Linked DNA regions of Drosophila melanogaster. The protein of the gene in region 3 interacts with the protein of the main gene of each other region in a pairwise test. Each region holds a gene or a part of one and is shown on either strand. Other genes may lie near its edges.

What was found. The genes of interacting proteins can lie anywhere in the genome.
Region 1: the proteins of CG2691 (region 3) and nuf interact in a two-hybrid assay, tested with the Drosophila melanogaster proteins (one large-scale study listed by BioGRID).
Region 2: the proteins of CG2691 (region 3) and Rassf interact in a two-hybrid assay, tested with the Drosophila melanogaster proteins (one large-scale study listed by BioGRID).

What each region holds. Positions count from the first base shown.
Region 1 is NT_037436.4:14,218,116-14,222,743, reverse strand, and holds the start of nuf (nuclear fallout), read right to left. Parts: upstream 3,003-4,628; 5' UTR 2,808-3,002; intron 1,305-2,807; exon of another isoform or gene 1,244-1,304; intron 1-1,243. Other genes in the region: CG7768 (uncharacterized protein), read right to left, coding at 3,867-4,361.
Region 2 is NT_033777.3:23,113,512-23,119,474, reverse strand, and holds Rassf (Ras association family member), read left to right. Parts: upstream 1-1,543; 5' UTR 1,544-1,936; coding exon 1,937-1,976; intron 1,977-2,050; coding exon 2,051-2,145; intron 2,146-2,211; coding exon 2,212-2,394; intron 2,395-2,460; coding exon 2,461-2,649; intron 2,650-2,702; coding exon 2,703-4,123; intron 4,124-4,184; coding exon 4,185-4,511; intron 4,512-4,571; coding exon 4,572-4,676; intron 4,677-4,741; coding exon 4,742-4,802; 3' UTR 4,803-5,461; downstream 5,462-5,963. Other genes in the region: CenB1A (centaurin beta 1A), read right to left, coding at 634-686.
Region 3 is NC_004354.4:13,618,756-13,626,003, forward strand, and holds CG2691 (uncharacterized protein), read right to left. Parts: upstream 5,654-7,248; 5' UTR 5,551-5,653; coding exon 5,409-5,550; intron 5,352-5,408; coding exon 4,792-5,351; intron 4,716-4,791; coding exon 3,805-4,715; intron 3,746-3,804; coding exon 2,864-3,745; intron 2,799-2,863; coding exon 2,664-2,798; intron 2,602-2,663; coding exon 2,169-2,601; intron 2,101-2,168; coding exon 1,838-2,100; intron 1,780-1,837; coding exon 1,589-1,779; intron 1,518-1,588; coding exon 983-1,517; intron 911-982; coding exon 808-910; 3' UTR 521-807; downstream 1-520. Other genes in the region: Tango2 (transport and golgi organization 2), read left to right, coding at 1-298.

The sequences.
Region 1 (4,628 bases), on a different chromosome or scaffold from region 3:
AACCAACAGACCGTAAAATTATTTTGTTCAGACTTTGAGCAGAATTCTAGACAATTTTACATATCCTCGTCGTACAGCTATTTTCCAACCTCTCCCTATTTTCATTGTTATTTTGTTCCTCAGGTTTTGAATTCCCGCCTAGTTTCTAATTACCAGAAAATGCAATGGCTGGCTAAGTTTGCTTTTCTTTTACTTGGAATTTGTGGCGTGCTGTTTACTTTTGTAGTCTAGTAAACTGAATCATTCTTAGTCTTATCAAATCGTTCGGCGACGTGTATAGTTAAGGTGCCCTTGTCAAAGCTTCATTTTCACGTTATCACATACAAATTTAAATAAAGGTCAATATGAGGGCCAATTAAAAGCAGGGCATGACTGATAAAGATTTTACTTTTTAAAGAACTTTATTTGCTTTGAATGATTCCAAGTTGATTTACGAAATAAGCATTCAAATAAATAAAATACAACTTTATTACAAATGATTTGGAAACCCTTATCAAAATACAATCCAATTCCTTCAATACAAGTACAGTAAGTAACCGAATAATCTGATTTCAATTCAACTAAAACTAATTTGCTAATGAAGTAAACTTTCCTTTCTTGTCAGCTGAATATTTTTGGATTATCATATCTCTTCAACCATTTTTTCCTCGCCCATGTCAGGCAATCAAAAACAGCATAATAGAAAATTATCATTAGCTACTCTTCAGCAAAATTGAATTCCACAAAGATTTGCATACAATGGTCGACGAAGGAAGGGGTGAAAATGGGGATGAGTCGAACGAGGGGAGCTCATTAAATGCAAATTTTACTTCGCTGCTGTGCACTTTTCATGCAACAAAGTGAAGTGAACAAGTTACAACAAAAAGGTTGTAAAATATACAATGATTAGCCGAAATTGGATCAGGAATGCTGAGTACCACATAAAATATTCATGATTTCAAACAAATGTATATTTAAAGACTTTGCATCAATTATATGGGAATCATATACATAAGAACTTGAAAAAAAATTGTCATTGATTATTTTTAATGTACTATTATGTATTCTATAACTTTCTTGAAAGCTTTTGCTTAAAAGAACCAAAAACTAATGATGCAATCCTTTAAAATATTTTTAATTTTCCTGCCGATTTTATGATCTTCAATAATCTGTGCCGCGATCTCACAAATATTTTTCAATTTTAAAAGTGAATAGCTAATTTTTTCGATTATTTAAAATGGTGTATTATGTATTTTATTACAACCACAATCGAGGGAGAAAAACAAATTTCGATTAAAGCACGCGAAACGCGAAAAGCAAACTGAATGAACCAGAAATTCAGGGGCAAAATAAACCGAGGCAGTCGCCAGCGATAGAGAGAAAAATGAGAGACTGGGAGAGCGAATTTGGGGAGGCGCAATCTTTATAAATAGGAAAAAATAATAATCAACAAACAAGAGCAATGACAAGGGACCGAAGAAAGAGAGCGATCCGATCCCCCAAAGGAAAAGTTTTTCGCCATATGTCCGAGGGTGATTCTCTCGCCGAATCCGCCCGCCTCCTTTATTTTGAACATATGGTTTTTGAGTCAGGGACAGCGCATAATTATGTGGAATTTATATACGGTCACCCCAAGCCAACCGCTCCCAAAATGCCTCCCATCATATGTTCATATATGCATACATACGTATGTATGTATATGTTTTACTCATTACTAAATAAAAGCGCAAGTGAATAAGCGTGGACACGAACCGAAAAGCAAGAGTAACGGGACGCATGCGGGATTGGATGGTAATCTCCATCCATTTCGTCCCATCTCTTTCGTACACCCCCTTTTTGTTGATGTCATCAGAGGGTCTTTTCCGTTCTTTTGTTATTGCGGCTACCTTAGGCCTTTTACTTATTGGTTTTTAGTGCTAGTTTTCAGTTCCGGTTAGTTGTCTTCTGTGCTGTTAGGGCACTGTGCCGTTAGATTTATATGCCTACTAATTGACGAACCATCGCTAATGAAAGAATATTTTCCTACCAAACTTAACGGTACGGAAAATGCCTAGTAAAAGAAATTAAGAAGTACGAGTTATGTATAATGAATGAACTTGGAACTGCTATGCGTTATTCTCGGTGGAAGCCCTTGATTTATTTAATTCCCTTTGAATGTAGAAACTGCCGAAAGCAATGAAAACAAGACTTGATTTTTAAAGAGGCAATATTATTTTTTTTTTTTCATCTTCCTAAGTTTACTAAACTTTTTAAGAAAATACTTAAACTTGTCTCCATTAATAATAAAAAAAATCAACACAAAAAGCACAATTAATTTACATTGTGCCGGTTTTGCAAATTTGATCACCTTATCTTTCTTCGTTTTACTTCATCAATTACCGTCAGTGTTTTTTCAACTTTTAACGCCCCATAACGAAGAATTGCTTTGAATTGTTTAAAGCTATTTTATTTTTTCTTTCATTTTGTCCCATTTATTGTATCATTTATCAATTTTATGCCACACTTGATTTCCATTTTTTATGTTTCGATAAAACACTTGGCAAACTGATTCAACCGCACTTTTCAATTTAAGATCAATCAACCAATATATTTGCCAGAGGGTATGAAAATTAGAAACATGAGCCGAACAAGGCTACTTTGATTACGGGTTTTCACAACAGACCCTGTCATTAACGAATTTGTTTTGATTTCACATTTTTCCTTAAATAAGCGGTTAATGAGCCAAAGGCACCTGACACAGCTGATAAGCGAATTCGATCGATAATAGGTAACACACAAAAAACACACGAATTGAGGTAACTTTGGGTTAATTTTCTCGAATTTCGAACCTTTTTTAATTTGGCTATTTTGCTTAGGAGAGCAGCAGCAGCAGCTGCATTTTCCTTTTCCTTGGCAATTGCATTGCCCAACAACAAAACACCCGCGCGAGAGAGCGCGAGAGAGTGAGAGACAGGGCGACCGTTCGATGCGCTGCTCCGCTTTTCTAGTGTTGTGAACGCGGCAAGCGTTAAATGCAATCTGAGAGAGGAAAGCGCTGAAAAGCCAGCGCCAAGTCGCGGCCCCTCCTCTGCCGCTGCCTCGGTCGACGTCGGCAGAAGCCGCGACTTGTTTTGGGTGCCCGAAAAAATAACGAAAAGAAATACAAAAAAACAGAGCCCCAAAGCAAAACGAACGCAATAGAAAAATTCCACTAATGTGACTTAGCAGTGTTGGAAATTCGTATTACATGCACTTGAGAAAAGAAAATTTTGTTTGCTGAGTGGCTTATATGCACATACACATATACACATTGTATAACATAGTTAGCCAGGTGTTTTTAGGTTTGAAAAGAAATACTAACTTCCAAATATAATATTTGTTTAAACAAAACTTATATTGCAGAATATATTTAAAAAATAATGGATTCAATTTGAGTTTTTGAATGTATTTAGTAAAGTGCACTTTACCAAACATATACATATGTATTACTGGTGGTTAATTCTTTTTTTTCATCAGTGTATGTGACTTAATAGACATTTGCAAAGTGCATTCGGGTAAAGTGGATAGAATGGCTTGAGGGAAAGGTGATGGGAGACAGAATGAGAATCGAGTGGAAAGAATCAAAAGCGACATATGTGAGCAACTCTTGAACTAAATTGAGTCAATTAAAAGTAATGGAAAGAAAAATCAAAGGAAAATGAGTCAGGGAACTGGGCTGTTCAGGGTGCACCGGATTATTCAACGAATTGGTCTGAAATGCGTAACATATGAGAGCGATGTAAATAGTTGAACCGACAAAATACATTTTTTTGCACCCCCTTTTATTTTGCAAAGTTTTCTTGAAAAGTATAATTTCAGTGTAATAGTGTAAATGTGTGATTGACAGCACTATTATGTATTGACACCCTTCAGAGGGCTCCGCAGTCTTCGATAATTACTTTCTTGCTGGTCTTCCCATCTTGTGAACCGTAAGATTCTACCTTCTGGACGATATCCATTCCCTCAACGACCTTGCCGAACACGACATGCTTATTATCCAGCCATGTGGTTTTCCCGGTGCAAATGAAAAACTGAGATCCATTGGTATTGGCCCCAGCATTGGCCATCGAAAGTACACCAGCTCCGGTATGCTTTAGCTCGAAATTCTCATCGGGAAACTTGTTTCCATAAATGGAGCGTCCTCCAGTTCCGTTTTGATTAGTGAAATCACCGCCCTGACACATGAAATTCGGGATGACGCGGTGGAATGGTGATCCCTTGTAGCCGTACCCCTTCTCTCCGGTGCAGAGGGCCCGGAAATTCTCCGCCGTCTTGGGCACCACATCCGAACGTAGTTCCATCACAATTCTACCTAACTTCTCACCTCCTGCGGCTATATCGAAGTAAACGCGTGGCAACGACATCTTCGCAGATGCCGAAAATTTTCGGAGAAAAGCCAGATCTATTAGGTTTAAAATCGAACGATGCCTTGTTCAAAAACAAGAAATATATTTACCGGATAACTTGGTGGTGTCAGCTTTATGATAAAAAAAAGTAACGACTTTCAAGAGAACCGTACAGTAGAACAGCTGGAACTGAACTGACGAATATTCTGGGCTAGTCAGGGATCTGAAGTAAGGGCTCGTTGAAATTCATTTCACAGCCTTCTTTATAAAATCCAGTAGCAAAAA
Region 2 (5,963 bases), on a different chromosome or scaffold from region 3:
AGAAATGTCCTACTTTACAGATCCTTAGATTTCTTATTTTTTATATGCATGGCAGAAAAGTTCACATATGATTCACATAATTTATTGTAGTGTACTTCGGTTTCGAAACACCAAGGTCAAGTTGGCACTTCCACAAATGATAAAAGAACCGAAGTGCAGGAGAATCCAAGATAGTCTTGATTTCCTGTTTTCTTTCAAGTGAAGCTGCTGCAGGTGCGAAAAAGTGGGGAAGATGTGATGGGGCTGCTGGGCAAACAAGTTATCGCCGCGTTTGTGCACCGTTTTACGAGGGAAAGCTTTTGTCTTTGGACACGATTAGTGGAGAAGCGGCAATTTGGGTGAAATCTTATCAATCAGCGGCGGGCATTGAAGCGTTCGCGGACGGAGACGAGAGCATCGGCAATTTAATTGCGGAAATAAAGGGGCAGGCAGGCACATTCCACACTGCTGACGGGACAAAGTTTGTTCGATGGATGATTAAGCCGCGTTTTCAGGTGGAGCAGGTGGGGCGGTGTTGGGCTGTATCTGGTTTTGGATAGTAACCAGTCACGCTACATGGAGCAATTCGAATCTCACGCCAAATGCGGCTCAGGATGGGCACACAGTGGGGGCGGGGCTGCAGCTTATATGCACCTGAATCTGGGAGAATCCTTCAGGCACTCCTCGAACTCGATGGTGGCGCGCATTTTGGCCACCACGCAAGCAGCACCTAGACTGCACTGCTGGCTATTTCGCTACGCTAATTGAGGCCCGTGAATCTTTGTTGGCCTGTTGCTGCTGCTCTGCTTTGCTTTGCTTTCCTTGCTGAAGTGGGGATTTCGATGCGCGATTTTCGAGGGCGGCTCTGGGAGAAGCTAATTGCGGGCAGCAGGAGATATGGTGATTAGTCGCATCCTTGGCAATCGACGGCTACACACGTTGAGCACTGGCCCTAATTAGCGAAACTCGCCAATTTACGCGATTCGGGGCCGAATTTACCAAATTTACACAGCGCGCAGAGACAACAAATTAAAACGTCTCACTTTCTACTAGAGCAGATCGGTGTGCCCGCACTCGCAGCGAAAACAAATCTAGCAGCGCGAATGGTCACACACTTTGGCGGGCTTATTTGCTTTTGCTCATATCTTTTAAAATTTTAAATGTATTGAATGCTTAGTGTTTTCCTTGTGCTGATTTTCGTTTTAAAACTCGATTAGTTACGAAGATTTCAATTCAAAGGCATAAAACAACGCACATTGACATTGTCAGCACGGTTTATCAGTGTTGGAAACTTTTGTAGCTAAGAAGAAGCTAATTAGGAACTTAAATTCCCTAAAAGAAGATACAGCCCAAAAAAGATTTGGGTTCTAGCCATAATCAATGTAGATGTATTTAAAGTACAAACGATGACAATTTTAAACACCAAAACAAGCAAATCCGTTTCAAGCTACCGCCAGCCAAGTCAAATCTAGCTACAAAACAGATCAGCTGACAGCACCGCTGGATTTTAGGGTGCCCGCCTTGTGCGACAAGAATCCGCGGCCAGTGCTGCACAAGTGCCATTTTTCATTTCATTGTTCTGTTCTCTTTCTGCTGGTGCTGTTTTGGTTTAAGTGCAATTATCCACACAAGTACGCACCGAAAACCGATGCACCTGCACCGTGCACCAAGTGTGGGAGTGCCCAGTGCCAGTTTCATTTATAAAACTATGAGTTTCGCACGGCAACCAGCGCAGCTGACCGACTGACCGATCAGAGTCTCACGTCCCCCCTCGCCTCATGTGTTTACCCCTTGTCCAGCGTTCTATTTGCGTTTCGTGTCCGCTTTAAATCGCCTCATTTGCATACAACTCGACGGCTTTACGTCACAACTCTTTAAAATCGGCGAAGTAGAGGAGGAGGAGTGAAACACGCCCATTCCCGGAGGAAGCATTAGACCGACCTGTTTGGAATCCAGAATGTGGAAGTGCCACAAGTGCGGCAAACCCGTTTACTTCGGTAATGCACCCACACACGAGCGCATTGCGATCCGTAAATAACTTGTAAATTATATTTATTTATGCCCCGCACAGCGGAACGTAAACAATCGATCGGCTACGATTGGCATCCGGAATGTTTGCGCTGCGAGGAATGCGGCAAACGCTTAAATCCCGGCCAGCATGCTGAGGTAGGAGGATCACCTGTTAGTTAGCCGATCATGTGATCTATATAAAGCCTTTTGTTTTCCTTTCAGCACAAAAGTGTGCCCTACTGCCATGTGCCCTGCTATGGCGCCCTGTTTGGACCCCAGTTGTTTGGCCACGGCACCCGGGTGGAATCGCACAAAAGCTATGGGGTGAAGGGAGCCCAGAAGCCAACCGGAGCTCAGGCCAATGGCCCGCCACTCCCACGTGATCACCTGGAGTCCAAACTTAAGGTGCAGAACGCAATACCCAGACATATCAATATCTCATGACTCACCAAATTCCCTTTTAATGGGCAGGTCTACAACCAATTCTACGACAACAAAAGCCTGGAGATACGTAGTCGTGAGGTCAACAACCGGTTGGTGCTGGAAGGCGCGCTTAGAGTTTACTGGGGCGTGCAGGGAGTGATTCATCTCAAGGAGGACGATGATCAGCGCATCTTAGTGCGCAAAAGGAACTCTTGCCGTGTGTCCAAGGCTGCCAATGTAAGCTGAATCTATAACATAACAAAACGTTATTTATACAATTGTACCCACAGGAAAGCAGTTCGGATAAGGAAAACGAAGCTAGCGAATCGCTGGCTCCGCCCACCACCACCACAGCCGAGGTCGATCAACTATCCACGGATGTTTCCCTTTCCGAGAGCATGACCTTCGACTCCTGTAGCCTGAACGAGATCTCCGAGTTGCCCACAACCCCAGAAGATGCCTCGGCCAACACCACAGCCAACAGCAAAGAGCAGACCAATGGTAATGTGTGCAACGACGACGAGGATACGACCACGACGGACTCATCTGGAACCCTGGTGGAGGCTCCTACTGCCAGCACAAGTTGTGTGTCCAGCACATTGCCTTCGAAGTTGGACCGTCTGGAAAAACTGGATTGGGACGACATAGACGATCTGCTGCAGGTAGAGAGACGTCACAACGACAAGGATCGCATTTATGAAACTATGCCTGTCAAACTGCCGTCGTCGCAATCCTCCAGCGACAGTTCGCCCAGCAAAACATCCACAGAGACCACTACGACCACTGAATCAAGCTCGACTCAATCGGCATCAACAAACACCAGCAGCACGGATGATTTTATGACCGCCACGGGATCGTTGACTGCCAACACCAATACGCAGAATACAACAACGGTGTCTACTACTGAGACCTCTCTGGATAACTTCGAGACTTGCGATGACGCTACCCTGAAGCCTATTGATTTCGAGGACTTTAAGCGTAGTGTCCACCAGGACTATGTAAATGGGGCCAACTCCTTTACGGAGCCCAATGAGGGCACCCTTAAGCGTAATCAACCAATTGATCCCTCTCGCATTCACGACTCCCTTAAGCTCTACGGCGAGAATTCAGCGATGAGCAAAAGCTTTAATTGTGAGCATGCATTGCGGTCAATAGATCCCACTTTAATCAACGACACCATGAATCTGCGCAGTAGTGTGGGCTCTCCTCACTCCGCACAGCGTCAGTACGCCTTACAAAAGAGTGGATCGGCCACAGTAACCAGCAGGGATCAAAAGAAGCCATATCAACAGGGGCGGCAGTTGTTCGAAAAGGGCATCAACCGCTCCAAATCGGGACCCAGCTGTTTTGTGTACTCCGACAGCGATGACGACGACGAGGCCACGCTGCGTCCCCAACGTATGGCCACCATTCGACGCAGCGACATACCTCAGCGGTACATACAAATCCAGATGGACTGTTATCCCAAAGAGAATGTGGCTGCTGCTAGCGAAGGTGAGTCAAGTCGGGCAGATGCTCCATCCATAACCAGTGGTGCAGCGGCCGGCGATGAGCTTACGCAAACCGAGGATTTGTACACTGCAAGCGAGGGCGTTGATGGTCCAGACGGAGATGGATCGGCTGGGTTGCATGTGACGGAAGATGGAGTTGTGCTGAGAAGACCTCCACGCACAGGAGCTTCTGCCATCAAGCGACGAAGTGGCAATCGTCGGTAAGTTACTGAAACTTTTAATGAAGAAATTGTGTTGTAATTCCAACTTCTTAATCAATAGTTCTCGTACCAAGCTGAAACGTCGGTGCTCTATCAATGGTCACTACTACAATCGGGAGACGTCGTTTTTCACGCCGCCCTACGGTTCTCAAATGTCAGTGTGGGTCTCCTCGATGGTGACCACCACTGAGGTTATCAACTTGGTGCTGGAGAAATACAAGGTGGACAGTTCGCCTGGCAATTTTTCACTCTTCATTGTTCGCGACAATGGTGAACAGAAACGTCTCAAGGACGACGAATATCCTTTGATAACGCGCGTCACTTTGGGACCTCATGAGGATGTGGCTCGTATATTTTTAGTGGATTCTCGCAAAACTGATGAAATCAGGCAAGTTATAACACTCCTTTTCAATAGAAGTTTGCTTACGTTTCTTTTGCATCGCTGCAGTAATGAAGTTGCTCAATTTTTGAATTTATCTTTGCCCGAGTGCCGTGCTATTCTGGAGCGCTACGACCAGGAACTGGCCCGCGAAGTGGCCAAAATAAAGGAAAGGTGGGTTTTAAAAAATAATTTTACATCCCAAGACTTTGCATTGAAAGAGAATTACTTTTCCGCAGATACGCCGAATTGCGACGTCGTATTGTCAGTCGCATGGAATCTCTGAAAGTGCATTTGTAAAACGTAAATGAAACCTCTGGCATAAGAGCAATTTTTTATTAGCCATAACATGAATGCGGCCAAAAAAGAAGTGTCGGCAGCAGCACAGCTAATAGTATTCACGTTTTTATACGAGATATATATTTTTATGTAGAATCTAGAGAAAATTACGAACTAGCAAACATTAGGCGCCCAGTGAACAAAAAGCAGCTGCTGCTCGTCGCAAAATACATATACATACATTACGTTTAGGGTTCGATTCTTCCCAGCCGAAACTAACAATCAATTCCAGGCATTTCCATTCGTTTAGAAAGCGTTTAAGACTTGTAACTAACCAAAAAATAATTATTAATCCACAACATTACCATACAGTTTTTTGTTTTATGTTAATAATCAATGTATGTGCTTTATGCAGTCACGTTAAAAGCGTTGTCATTCATGTATCTATTGTACAATGTTTAGCTTTTAAGCCGTGACATGAAGCACAGGTCCTGCTAGTAGCGTGTAGTTGAAAGCCATTTTATCGAGTCATTGAACAAATGTGTGAAAATCAATTTGATTAGAAATCGCAATGCCTGCGAAACAATAAGAATAACTGTGCACATACTTCATATTGCATAACATGGACTTGTTGATTGAAAATCATTTGGAAATCCAATAAAATGAAAATTTTACAACAGAATCGCCGCCTCTTTCGGTGACCAGCCAAGCGGAGTTTAAGGCCCCATGGTCGCCAACAAATTCCGGCAAGTAACGCGTCCCTAGTGCAAAGGGGCGAACCTAAAGGCGGCAGCAGTAGCAGAAAGTGTGAGCCGAATATTCAAAAAAGGCAGCAACCGGCGCCAGCCGTCCGTGCCCAAATGGGGATCAAGTGGAGGTGGACCTCTAGCCCCCCCCCCACACACACACACACACATACACACACTAGGGTGGGGGCAAACCGATGCCCTGTCCTGGCCAAAGCAGCCATCAAAGCACAAGTCAATGATGCCATTATAATAGAGAAACGACGGAGGAGCAGCGCGGAAATAGCGACGAGGACGAAAGTAGGCAAGCACTGGCTCACTCACATAATAAATGCACACCCCACAGCGGCACAGAGTGAGTGTGTGTGCGTGGCTATTAATTTGAAACTGACAGAGCCTACGGGTCTCCATTCCGGCTACAACGTGGTTGGGACTC
Region 3 (7,248 bases):
GGCTCATGGGGAAGCCAGCGTGGAGACTCTGTCCGCCCAGCTGATGCAGTTGCTCCGCAACAAGCACAAATTCTGGCCGGACGACGAGCTAAAGACACGTGCGCCCAACTGGGGCGAGGGATTGAGTTCCCTAAACGTCCATATCGAAGAGCATGCCTATGGCAGCCGTACACACTCCGTTGTCCTGGTGGACAGCGAGAATAAGATGCACTTCATTGAGGAGACAATGACTGGATTGGATCCGCACGGCGAATGGAACAAGACCCACATTGAAAAGGATTTTCAAAACGGCGTTTGACCACGGACAGGATGACGCAACTTCTTGACGCAACTATCTCGTTCGAAGACTTTCCTCTTTTGTAGAATAACCTAATTGGCTAATATTCTACCAATCTGTATTTTGACTCTGGCATTTGCGATAATAAATAGTCATATTTACTATATCTTTAAAGAACATAAAGCTTGTGTGGATTTAATCTAACGTTACTGCTCTTCTTTCTGCCACGCATCGAACTATGTTGCTTTCAAAATTCTTTATTCAAAGTCTTTGCAGATCAAAACAAAAAAAAAAAAAAATACATAACTATTCTGTTTCTGTTTTTCTTTATCTGTGGCATTTACAACGTCTCCACATGTTCATATATATATATTAAGTTATATTTATATATTTAAGCAAAGTAACAGGGGAAATAATCATCAACGTCTTAGCTTCCTTATCAACAGACCGCACTATCCCAGTGTTATTATACATCTCTATATCTCTATAGCTTTACGAGCCTGTTAGCCAGTTGGCTTGAATCGTCTGCCCTATTTGTATTTCTTGGACACCCGGCCACCGCCGGCTCCTCCATTTTCAGCGCCAGCTCCTCGCAATACGCTCTTGAATTTTCGCGAATTCATTGAACGTTTTCTGGGGGCGAAAGAGATGGAGTATTAGATAGGGACGGGTATATTAATAATATTAAACATTTTGGATACACACCTCTTGTTCAGGTTATTCCTAGTGAGTGGTATATACGCATATGGATCCAGTTTTCCGCTCTTCTTCATATCACCCTTGGCCTTCTTGCTGCCGTACTCACTGCCCGCTGGGCGGCTGGTGGATTTGCCTGACTTCACGGACATGGCATCCGAGTTTCCAGCTGTCAGCTGTCGATGAATGCCCTTGCCACCGGCAGTGTAGCGACTACTGGCAGTGGTTTTGCCCGATTTCATGCTCATCGCATCATCACCCTTGCGTACACGCTTGGGTACTAGCTTCTGCTGCAGTTTATCTTCGTCGCTCGAATCGTCTTCCATGCCACGCTTAACCTTGGGCTGCTTGGCTACAGTGCCATACGCCATGGATGCATCGGAATCCGAGTCGTCATCGGACTGATCGTTACCGCCCTGGCCACGAAGTGCCTTGTCGCTGATGATCAGGCGTCCATCGTCGGCAGTCTTGAAGCCACCGTTCGGCAGCTGAGCTTTCGTCTTTTGACTCTGGGCAGGGGTGGCCGTTTGAGCGGAGCCACTGGCTGGAGTGGGGCAAAGGCAAAGAAACAAAAAAAGTGATGATTTGTGCGATTTTCAAACGACTTCAACTTACTCAGCACATTGCCAATGGACTTGAGATCGGCCAAATCGACTATCTCATCGGGATCCTCGCGAATGTAAGTGCTCTTCTGTTGCTTAGCATTCTTGCTACGCTTGCTAGCTGCGGCTGCAGCTCCGGCCTCATCCTTAGCGTCCATATCTTCGGGCAGATCCGAATCGGAGTCAGCTAGCATATCATCAATGCTGTGGAAGGGATTTTTTTTAGTTATTTGGGTAATTACTGTGTATGAAAAACGCTTACGTGTAGCTCTTTTCCTGCAGACCGCTGACCAGCTCATCATCGGAGCTATCCTCCTGCGCTTCCAAGTTCTGTTTCTTGCGCAAATCCCTGCGCGTACGCTTGCGGATCATCTTCAGCCGGCGATGGATTACATCGTCATCGCCGGGAACGAAGCCGGCCAGCTCCCCGGGGCTAAAACGAATGCAGAGCTTCTTAAGCAAATAACCGATCTGGATGCGGCAGTATCGCTTCGTATCCTTGGTCATGGCCGACAAGGAACGCATCTAAAGGAGGGGAAAGAACTAATTATTCGGTTCAAGTGCCTAATTTAAATGTCGGCGGATGTGCTCACAATTGCCTCCAGGTGATTGGCCACCAGTGGTATGGGCATCACTTTGATGAATGTAATCAGAAAGGCAATGGCTGCCTCCGCTTGCTTGCGTGACTTCTGGACGAGGAAAACAGAGACCTGCTGCAGGACAAACTCCAGAGTGGCCACTGTCAAGTGCTCACCCTGCTGCTGGAGCACAGCCCTAAAGGCCAAAATTGTGTTCGTCACCAGCATTTCATCGCCGGCAAATCCTGCCGTCAGTATATCAACAAAGTCGTTAATCTTGCCGGCATCGTGATAAAGTTGAGTAATAGATTTGATTAGCTGCTCGGCCACCTGTTCCTTGTAATTGGAGAATTCCTTATAGTTGAGCACTGCCTCCGGAATGGCCTTCATCACAAGTTGATCGTTGTACGCCAGATTGCTGTGGCAGTCTATCAGGGACTTCAGGCAGCTGATGATTGAAAAATAATAGTTTAGCCTACACTTTAGCGATCATTTAGCACTTTAACTTACTGCAAACGCGATGCCTGACAAACGTTGCAGCTGGTGTTAAATGAATCGAGAAGGATTTGCTGCAGGACAATGCTGTTCTTGCGGGTAAACTTCTGGCATGATGGCAGCTCCGAGGTCATCAGTTCGCGAAGTAGTCTATAAATAAGAAGGGCTCATAAGTACACTGCAGTGTGACTATGACTAACAACAAGTGTACATACTCGTAGGTCTTCCTTTGCTGCTTTTTCAGTTTCTGCTCATCTTTGGCGACCAATTTCGATTTATCGTTCCTCAGAATGGGAGCCATGTACTTATCGAAATATGCTTTGATTCCCTTGCATGTTTGCACGCGCACTATGGCAGCATTAATGTCAAAGAAAGCGTCGTATTCGAAACTGGCCAAGGCACTGGCAGCCAATTGCTCTTGGGCGTTCTCAAAGAGCTCCAGTTGGACATCAGCCGGCGCCCGGGAAATATACAAACGAATGACTTCCAGAACACGCTTGCGCTGATCGGCCTCGTAGGTTCCATTCGGTTTCTGCGTATAGATATTGAAGAGGCGAGGCAAAAAGTTCTTGGCATACTGGCCAATTGCCTGATGGCATTCCGCACTTTGGTTGTCACCGAGCAGCTCCATCAGACCATCGTAAATGGGAGGCCTAAATTCCGGGTTCTTTTCCACAGCCGCACCCAAAGTGGGAGCTAGGTACCGCAAGTATTCAGGATCCCTTGGCTGACGACAGAAGCCAGGGAACAAGCCCCACAACTGGCAGCACAATAGCTCGTAAATGTGTGATGAAGAATTGTTCTTCGCCTCGGCGAACTCCTTCCACTTCAGTTGGCAGTCCATGGCCAGTGCTACAATCTTCTCCTTGAAGAACTGCAGGCTGGCACCGTTGGCTCCCTCACGGAGGAGGGGCAGCAGCCAGGATCGCTCAAGCTGCATGACGCCCTTGCCATCGGCAAGCGGTATAGCTGTTAGTACCAATTCGGGTCCCAAAGCCTTGATGGCACTGATCACAGTGTGCTCGATCTGCAGACGATGTGCACTCTGGGTGTCGTAGCGCTTGCAGATTGTCATCAGCGGGGGTGTGAGTTCCGAACTGAAAGCATTATAATATTATTAAGCATTTAAATATTATGGCACACATTGCAGACCAACCCGAATAGCTTTCCACAGGCCTCAAAGACGAACGAGAAGATGAGGATCACGAATCTGGAGATCTCTCCGAATGGAGCGTTTAGCATCTTGTGCAGTGAAGCAATTATCCTGGACACACTTTGCCTGTTGCACTGTGCATCCTCCGCTGTAGCACAAGCGCGCGAAACACAGTCTTGCAGCAGCTCCTTGATACAATTTGAGACACCGGCAACCAGCTCCTTTTGGTCCGAGAGCCAAAGATCCGTGGTGCAGACATCGATCAGACGCGGCAAGGCCTGCATACAAAGATCCAGCTGCATGGTCGCCAAATGGAGGTGGCCCTCCTTTAAGACCGTCACCCAGGCGATCGTCTGCCGGATGTCGCTTTTGTCTGGCCGGTACTCGTGTATCGCTGCCAGCAGTTTGGCGCAGAGTGAGGCATTTAAATTGGGGCTTTTTTTGAGGAAAAGGGAGTACAGTGTCTGGAAACAGTTCGTCCTAACCAGCACATTGGCCGCCGTCATAATGGAAAGCAGATGCTCGCAGACACTGCGTATGTCCTCCGTCTTGAAACCGTATAACGTGTCCTTGAGAAGCTCCAAAGTGTGCAGCACTGTCGTCTGTGCATTGGCCAGTACCTCCGGCTTGAACTGAGCCAAACAGAACTTGGCCACGCGACTGCTAGCCGGATGATGCTTAACCTTTGGCTGCTCAACCGCTTCATCCATTTCATTGTCATCTGATTTGATAGCCGGCAGCATGAAACAGCTGCCGTGAATAATTAAGGCAATTGCATGCTGGGCTGCCTTGCGGATCTTCGGCTGTGAGTGAATGCTGAACGCCAGAATGGCATCAAAGTATTGGAACGTCGAGCTGTATGACCATGCCGCGTAATCCTGGGCGCGCAGAATGACAGAAAGGCAGCCGATTACCTGTAAATGGAAAAACACGAACATCGACGTTAAATACGTATTTAACAGCTTTCTGGTAAACACATTTTGCACTTACATGTCGGATGACCGACTGGTTAGTGGACTCCATAAAGCGCTGGAGCAGTCTCTGCATGGTGTCAGCGGTCTGGGCGAATCGCTTTTTGAGAACCGGAGCCGGCACCGAATTAATGCCCATGGCAAGCAGTGTTACGCCGGCCACAATGTCCCGTTCCTCGGTAGCGGCCTCGATCTGCTCCATGAGCAGCAGGAAATACTCTGTAGACGACTCGCCACCGCCGTTCTCGCGGATTATTTCGGTGAGGGCGCTCAGAATGGCCAGCATCTCCTTGTGAAGAGCGGACGAGGACCGGAAGCTGGTGACCAGTTTCTGGAAGCATGTGTTGCTGCAACCGCTGTAGTTGGAGGCGAAGGTCTGGAAGGTTTTGATGGTGCCGGTGGGGGCGGTGCCGGTGGGAGCGGTGCCGGAACCGGACATTCCGTCATCATCGTCATCCAGTTTGAAACTTCTCAAACTGCCGGCCACATCGTTAACCGTTGTGGTTTCCGCATTAAAGGCCTGACTCTGCTCATGCTTGTGGACCGCCTCCATGGTGAGGCCGGTGGTCGTGGCTGCAGCTGTAAGGAATTTGGTTACAGGTGCTAACATAAGATGGCAAGTAAGGAAGAACTCACCCAAACTTAAATTGGGCTGAAAGAATCGCGATTTGGCCTTCATGCGGTGCTTCATCTGGGTGGGATTGGAGGTGGCCGATTCGCCTCTGCTCCATGTCTTTCCCTTGCCATTGCGCTTTAGCTTCGATCGGAATTTGCCCATGATCCCCCACGCGAGAAATGCTCGAAAGAAACAGAAATACTCAATGCACGCAAATCGCAACACGTGCGAACCAGTGTCCCCGCTCGACCGATAGAACTGACAATCGAAACTGCTATCGAATGGCTGATCAAAACTCGATGACGTACCGTTGTAAATTTCTAATCAAGTTCCCCACTTTGAATTGCAGTCCTGGCTAGTTCTGCTCTGCTACCTACCACAAACTAGTTGTGTGCTTTTGAATAAGCATAAATATCTGTTTCCCAAATATAAAAAATATATTTTTTGATTAAAAGATTTAAAAATACTAGTGGGGGTGTGTTGATTATTTCAAGGTGAATTTCCACCCAAGCTATACACCACACGATATCAAATTAGCTAACACACCAACCTGTTATCGATATTCCCCTTAGGAATGTCGATAACGTACGTGGCCGGTCTGGCAGCTCTGTGCAACAAGTTGAAAAATAGAAGAAGCAAATAGAAACAGCGTCCGCAAATAGTGCGCAAAATAGTGTTTTTTTGTTAACGTGCAACAGTGACATTGTTAAGCCATTGAATGCAAGTGACAGTGGGACCAGAAAAACAATGCAAAACACTTGGCCACGCAACAATAACAATTGAGCAAGGCGCACACACACACACATGTGCAGGCACCCACTCGTGTAAGAGAAAAAAAGAGATAGCGCGAGTGTGTGAGTGAGCGAGAGGCAAGAACTGTAACTGTAATATAATTGATAAAACAAAAAACGTCAGGAGCAGGAATCCAGTGAAAGAGCGGCTGTGGCTGAGGGAAAGAGAGAGAGAGAGAGAGAGAGCGAGTAAGAGGACAGCGAAAAAGAGCTGAAAAAGGAGGAGGAATTGTTGTTGCTAAAAATAGCAACAAATAGACAGGGCACGAAGAAGAAGAAGACGACGGCAAATAAGAGCAAGAAGAAGAAGCGTTGACGCAGGCAAAAGTCGCAGCCTTGTTGGCCACTTGGACTCTTACTTTGTCCCGTTAGCCAGCTAACGCTCTCCCGGCGAGCAACAACAACAACAACAAACATCGATAGCAGCAATAACAATAACGATATCAAGGAATACGAGATCAGCATCATCAACACAAAACAAAACAAAAACAACAACAACAAGTACGACGACGGACCAAAACTATGCTTTTGAAATTCACAAAAACCAGTGGCGCTGGACCCTCGGCCGTACCGCTACTGACCACCGCCCCCGCGACAGTCACCAGTTCGGCGTCCATGCAGGCAACAACAACAAGTTACGCGGCCCGTGGAACAGGTTTGTACCCCACTCTCTATCGCCCCTTACCCCCTCTCCCTCTCCCTGTGCCCTCTAACTCATTGCTTTCCACTTCTCTTTGCTCTCTTTTTGTTTTGATTTGTTAAGTTTAAGGTACGCCAAACAGTATAAATAATACACCTTGCCCACATTGACGTCCGAATTTCAGTAATTGAAATTATGGCTAATCGAGGCTTGGGTCTCAGATTATCACATTTTAATTTAAGTCACTCAAAGTTATATTGAAATAATTAAGATATATATTCAAACCATACTTAGAACTTATCCTAAATGATATTATACATTTCCTACGAATTTTTCGTTCAATTCAATAGTCAGCTTGTTAATATAATCAAACACTTGGTCAAAATGTTCTTATTGTTAACTGTTTCTATTGGGCATTGGAATTTTGCT